Linked DNA regions of Daphnia pulex. The protein of the gene in region 2 purifies or fractionates together with the protein of the main gene of each other region. This does not show direct contact. Links are inferred from orthologs where the notes say so. Each region holds a gene or a part of one and is shown on either strand. Other genes may lie near its edges. The genes, in order: proteasome assembly chaperone 2-like and proteasome assembly chaperone 3-like.

What was found.
Region 1: the proteins of proteasome assembly chaperone 3-like (region 2) and proteasome assembly chaperone 2-like purify together in Homo sapiens (affinity purification with mass spectrometry; 4 studies listed by BioGRID and IntAct, counting the BioPlex papers as one, with this or other methods). This does not show direct contact. The link is inferred for Daphnia pulex from reciprocal best matches to the Homo sapiens genes PSMG3 and PSMG2.

Annotation. Positions count from the first base shown.
Region 1 is NC_060026.1:15,321,179-15,325,502, reverse strand, and holds proteasome assembly chaperone 2-like, read right to left. Parts: upstream 2,830-4,324; 5' UTR 2,737-2,829; coding exon 2,671-2,736; intron 1,851-2,670; coding exon 1,685-1,850; intron 1,625-1,684; coding exon 1,566-1,624; intron 1,499-1,565; coding exon 1,320-1,498; intron 1,255-1,319; coding exon 1,144-1,254; intron 1,077-1,143; coding exon 878-1,076; 3' UTR 817-877; downstream 1-816. UniProt on the Homo sapiens protein: Chaperone protein which promotes assembly of the 20S proteasome as part of a heterodimer with PSMG1.
Region 2 is NC_060019.1:10,650,129-10,652,693, reverse strand, and holds proteasome assembly chaperone 3-like, read right to left. Parts: upstream 1,202-2,565; coding exon 1,107-1,201; intron 1,044-1,106; coding exon 933-1,043; intron 871-932; coding exon 690-870; downstream 1-689. Other genes in the region: GPN-loop GTPase 2-like, read right to left, coding at 53-167, 228-433, 492-581, 640-679. UniProt on the Homo sapiens protein: Chaperone protein which promotes assembly of the 20S proteasome. May cooperate with PSMG1-PSMG2 heterodimers to orchestrate the correct assembly of proteasomes.

The DNA.
Region 1 (4,324 bases), on a different chromosome or scaffold from region 2:
GCCAAATACCAGAAATATTTTTGAACATAAATTTAAATTTGACCAAATAAACTACTTACCAAGGCAGAAGGCAGTGAGAGTGAGAATGGATCATAAAAAAATTTTCTGAGCAGAAGAAAATTCTATTTCTACCCTTCCCACAATCCCACCCCAACCCCATATCATTTACAGCGGTGGCAAATTTTCAAAATCTTGCTTAAATTACATTTAATTTTTTAATAAAAATTTGTTAAAATATAATTTACCGCTGATTGGTTGATTGCCATCAGTAAATGAAACTCGAACTCTATCACATGACAAGCTTTAAATCAATTATTGGCGCAAAAAAATTCTGAGACTTATTTGGCCGATATCGATTCCGCGGTTCCGCCGGATTCCGCCTCGTCCGATTGGCTTCCGCAGGTTTTTAACCTATGTTCTATACATTTGCGACCTTTCATATTTAAGTAAATGGCACAATAACATAATATTTATTTCTGCACGGCAGTATGAATGGAATCTAAATGCATGTTTGAATTATAAGATTTTTGTCCGTTCTAAAGGTACAGGCTATAATCTCAAACTAGTCGTGAAACTCGTATGTCTTATCTTTAACAGCCGTTCTTTCCTTTCTGCAGAATTGAAGGAAAAGATCATCACAATAAGTCAATGACGCAATCGCCCACCAACCAACGTCCGCATCGCAATTCCATAACACTTTCTCTGTACCTTTTTTTATTATTATTAACGTATAACTGACAGTTACGAGACCTGGGGGTTGGACTAACAGCTCCATAACAAGCACGTCGAATAACCAAAAGATTAAATTAATTGAAATTCACCAATCACTCGATTTTATTATCTTTTCCTTTGCCAATCATTATTTTTTTTTGATCAATCAATACATGGTCATGGGAGCTGGTGCACCAAAGAATAATTTCCAAGACGCTGGGAATTTCCAGCCCGGGGCATCATTGGCCATTGGTACGAAGTTTAGCCACCGGTTGAAATGACCCGTCACCAGCAAAACTCCCGGTATATTGTCACCCTCGGCGCAAAATATAAGAAGAGTTACCAGAGGGACATTCATTTCGCCACTGCAGAATAAAAGGGAAAACTTCAGTTATAAAACGTAATCGAAACGGATTGAATAAACACGTCTACCATAATTTATTCAGAAGACTAGTATATCCTCCACCGGGGAAGAAAAGGATATCTTCATTGCCTTCCTTCCAAACCGAACGTCGGGTCTCCAGGGCAGGCCACTGCAGAGTCCTATAGTTCAATCAATACTTTTAGAATACAATTATTGATCTTGATTTTATCTCTCCGCAATTTACTTTAATTCGTTTTCAATAGACGAGTTGACAGCTGAAGTCACAGTGTAGCGGAATGGAGATCCGGTGAGTTGGGAATCAACTCGTTCGTAGTTGTGGAGGCTGGACAGCAGAATAGTCTTGACAAAAGCGCATTTCTTGATCCAGTCCACTAACTGGGACAAGAAATCGGCACAAAATTCCTTTTGGGAGTAATAAATGAATTAGCTGGTTAAAACCTTTACATTAATAATAATTTCAATGAGTTACCTTAATCAAAAGACCACGAATCTGTAGAATAACCAGTTTCTTTTCTTTGCTGATGTATACTGAAATTTTAGCGAAAATTAGATGCCATTCAGTCAAAAATTTAATATCAATTAAATTACATTCTGCTGCTGTCATGAGGCCTTGTTCCCGTATTTCATCATAAGGATCACTGCCAACTACGGGTACGAATACGGGGTGATCCAATTTGGCTAGCTTGTCACAGTGCAGGGAGCTGATGAGCAAGTCCACCGAGAGCTGGCCGATGTTGCCGACTGAAACGGCCGGCTGAAAAATCAGAAAACCAATTTAATGATGCAATAAAATCCAAAAAATACTCAAACTATGAAATTCAATTAGAAAAAAGACGAAAAAAGATGTAGGTGTGACTTTATTGGCTGGGCTACTGAAAGGCGCCTACTCACGGGCGCGATCCCACTACTGCCCGACACGGGAACTTTTGGCTGCTCGGTTTCCCTCCTGGCCCGATTCGCTCCTCCTTAGATAACCTGGATCTGCCGGATTACTCCAACCGATCCATGTTGATGCCAAGCTTAGTGCGGACACCTGTTCAACGCAAGCGACGATCCAGCAGGACTCCCAGCCTCAAGCCATCCACTACACCAAGCCTCCCAGAAGCAGGATTACAGGTACGCGCCACATACCCAGCTGAGAGACTAGCACTTTTGGAGCATGTCATTTGGGTGACGGGTTTGAAAGGAATAATTTTTCACGAATCATTCACTACGTTTGACTAGCAAGTTTGTATGCGGAAATTTTAGTTTACTTTACGCATTTAGTGAAATTGAGTTAAGTTGTACTTTTGACAGTTCTCTTATCACAATTCTAATAATGGCCGCCAGGTGGCTCCTTTTTTCAAACTCGATTTTTACTTCAAAAATAATAATTCTTTCCAGTTATTCAAGTCTATCGATTAAGAAAATAACATTGTTGTTCCCTGAATGCAATTTACCCACTAAAAATTTAAGTCAATGTCGTAACTGCTTTGACATGAATCACTCGTCTTTCCAATACGCAATTCCCCTGTTCGAATTTTTCGGCCGAGTTCGAGATCTGCCTTTAATCAATCCACCTTGCACGAAATTACCAATATGAAGGTGTAATCTTGAAGTGAAGACCATTCCAGTGATTTATTCTTCAGAAAGACAAACATTTTCTTGACCACGGATTGCAAACGTGTTAAACTTGGTAAACTTGAAAGCCACAAATGACTGGCGGAATCTTTGCAAAAAGCGTCTGCTGTATTTTTACCGACGTCACCCCAGTTTCAATTTCCACCGCTAGGTGGCTTATAACTCAATTAATCTCTCCCGTAGTTGCCTTGTTGATACGACATTTGCGTGAATGGGGTATAACTGAATAACTGAATGATCGGGTTCAGCGAGTTTCTAGTCGGTTGAAGAAGGAATTTCTAAAATTACAGCAATTAAACAAACATAATTCTCTCTCCTAGCGACTTTCCTCCCTCCTTGGAATAAGTGGGTGGGTGGTCATAAAAAAAAAGAAATAAATTTGGAAAAAAAATAAAAAAATAAACTAAAAATGAAATCCACCTGTCATGTCATCACGGTCTCTGCCCTCCTCCTCCTCCTCCCACAATTGTATTGTTGGGTAAAAACAGAACATGTAGGTTAGGGTTCCTCTCTCTCATTCTCCCTTCAAAAACAAAATGAAATATTACCCCCCGACACAATGAGATAAGAATTTTCCGTTTTTCTCTTTTTATTTTTCAGTCCCATTTACCAATGACAAAGCAAAATAGTTCAAATGATTTTGTGAAAGATTTTTATGCGCCTAAACTTGCAAAAATTCCCCAAAACAAATTTCTCCGCGCTGCAACGACTTTGCGGTTCACGTGAAATTCAACCGACGATGAGAAACGGAGCGCGGGCTGATTTTAAAAAAGACGAAATAATCTCGTGAGCAACCAGCGCGCTCAGCGATCAATCAAAAAAGATTTCGCTGCATCTCAGCAGCCCTGCTAATAATAATATTATGGCTAACCATATGTAGGGTACGGCGCTTGTGTATAATGAGGTGAATCTTCCACCGCAATGTGATGAGGTACGATACTGAGCTCATCTGCCGACCGCTATCCGGCCGGCATTTTTCCTATATATACCGTGGCGTGTGCAACAACATCAAAAAGATGAAATATGTCGGTTATCCGACGTGCTCTGCTGATCCATCCCATTTGGCTCCCCTCGCAACTGACAGTTAGATATACTACCCACTGCCTATGTGTACACGTGAATGACTGTTGTTACGTTTTTAAAACCTCCCAGCAGCACAGCAGCAGGTAAATCTTCTCTTCAACCAACTCCAGTTTCCGTGTCGTCCTACTTCTTTGGCGTCCAATTCCTATCGTCTCATTGTGCTCTTAAGATGTCCGCAACAACAACAACATTACTGTGATGCCCTCCTCCTCCATCTCGGGTGGTTGAACTTGGCTAATCCGAGTCGCGAAAAAAAAAAATACCGACGGAAATAACCGTTGGATGTTGTGTACAGATCATAGATATATATTTCCTCATCCGCGCGGAATGATCCGCATGACGGAACACTTTTTAAAATTTTTTTAACCGATGAAAAATTTTCCCGACAGTTTGAAGAAGAGACTGTCCGTTAAAATCATCACTTTTCTTCCCACTATATCTAATACGATGGCTGGGAGGTAGAGAAAAACAAAAATCACCAAAACAAAATTACGTGTGTAAAAAAGTGAATTTGTTTGAGAAGAA
Region 2 (2,565 bases):
GATACAAATGTTTGGTTACTATGGTTCTATCTGTTAACAAATGCGGGTTTACCTGGATCACTGCAATAGTGAGAGTCGATCAGTTGAACACAGCATAAACGAAAACCAAATGCTTCTAACTGTTTCATAATGTTTTTTACAGAATTGTTGTGGGTATAGAGCTCAACCTACACAAAAAAGATTATTACAACTTTTCTAGAAAACAGTATCACCTGTATTCAATATACCTGTCCCGGTAGATCGAAGATGAAGTAATGATCTTTGAATTTCTCTATTTCCACAAAGAGCCAGTCCAAATTCTTTTCGAGGAATTCCATACAATAGACCAAGGCGCCGTTCGGACCCAAATTGTAATTTTCCATTACATCTTGGACAGTAATCAATTTTGATACATCAATGGAAGAGGTAAACGGTAATAAATCATTCCCAGGATCTAATCACAATCATATTAGAGATTTTGATTGGAAAAGTATAATAACATTTTAAAATACCTAAATTAACTAGAGCTACTTTACGATTCTGGGATCGAAGGAAATCCGCCATTGCATGACAATAAGTGGACTTGCCGCTACCGGGAGGACCTTATAACATTACACGGTAAAAATGTGTAGCAAATTTACGAACGTAATTTCTACATACCGATAACGGCTTGGCCGAAGATGGTTTTTCTTACAGACATGTTGGAAAATTTATGCAGATTTTTCGGTGAGGGAAAGGTTGATCTTTAGGAATTCGCCAACTTGACGAAGAGTTTTCGGCTGATAGTCTTTAAGTGACAAGGCAAATAAAATGTTTTGCTGTGTTGGAATAAAGTTCACCAAGAAACGTGCAGCAACGTGAATTTCCTCGTCGTCTCGACCGAATAAGACTCTACAAAATTGCAATGAAAGTTAAAAAAACGAAACGAAATTGAGACGACATACAAGAATTACCGAACGCTGTAAACTGCACTGGAAGAATCGTCTTTCTGAGCAACGTCCCGACGGACTTCAACCACGTTTCCCACCTTGCCGTATTGAGTAAGTATGATAAATAACTTGTCGCTAAAAAGGACAATGAATTAAAGTGTAAGTAATGCAAGCAATGAACTAAAGAATTATTCCAACCTGAACTTTGAAATGACAACTTCTGTTGAATTCCCGTTAATCTCGATAGTTTCTGTTTTAGTCTGGACGGGAAATCTTCCCGCTACACCTTCCATATCAAACGATATCCAACCTGAAAGATATAAAAATGGTTCGTAAAAATTAGTGGTCGTATAACAGAATGGAAAGCAATAAAATGGTAATTGACGTCAACTAATTATGATGTGATAAATGCATTTTTTTTTAAATTTTATCCAATTTATTGATCACAATAATCAAAAATTTTTTAAAACTCTAGAAACCATTCTCCTCTTGTAAAAACGTTGATACTCTTCAGGCAGCATGGACAGGTGTTTCAGAGCAGATTCAACCATCTCCAACGCCTGCAGTTTGAAAGTTGAGATAGAAAAATAACCGAGGCCCTGAAGCTTTGACAGTGCCTTACTTTTGAGGCCGGTAGCGGATCTTTGTTGCCGTAAGGGTCTTTTTTATCGTACACCTCTGGACTCAAGTTTCGCCAGAAAACGTTGACTGCTACGGAGAACTCGAGTGATGTCATATTATGAAACCACAGAGCCGGGATGAAAAGAACGTCTCCGGGCTCCATGATACATTCGTGAGATGTTACTTTGGCGAACTCCGGAAAGTGTTCCAGATCAGGAAAATCAATGTCGATAACCCGAGATTTGTCGCCTTCCAAATAGAGATACGGAAGGTCTTCTGGCGAATAGAGAACGGCTCGTTTTTTGCCAGTGACTTGGACAAGAAGATTGTCCATCACATCGTAATGTGTCCACAACTGAACTCCTTCAGAAGCCACCCTGAGGACACTTGAAAAAATAGTGCTTGGTTCCAAAAACTTGGGAACTTGAAAATCTTGGCAAAGTTCAGGATAATGAGAATCAAGATTGGCAACCTCTCTTCCCCTTGAATCAGTTCCAAGTGCCCTTAAATAGTAAACTTCACTGTTTGTTAGAAAAAAGTTTTCGTGCTCATTTTCAGAAGACCTTTTGATTACTTGATCAAACGGCAGTGTTTTATAATGAAAGTTTTTGGTTAGGAAATTCATTTGCCCTGTTTCAGATACATGAATCTTCACTGGCTTATTCCCAACATTTTGCGAAAGATATTCAGCTGTCCACTTTCCTAGACAACTTCCAATGTCTAATCCTCTGAGTATGACAGGACTTCGTTTGGGATGGATCTCATCAAAAAATTGTTCCATTAGGATATTGTTATAGACGGGAACTGGGCTGACTTTTCTTTCAGTCATTTTAAAATTTACTCTACTAACGAAAGATGATCACGTGTAAAAACTTGCTTTGGCTATAACAATTGAATGTTACCTGCAAGGCGAAATGATAAAACTAATAACTATCGATAGACCGGTTCAATATACAGTTAAATTAACAGCAATGCACTTACCAAAAGCAGAGAATTAACTTCAACGGTATTGTTGTTTCGAATCAACTTTCAAGAG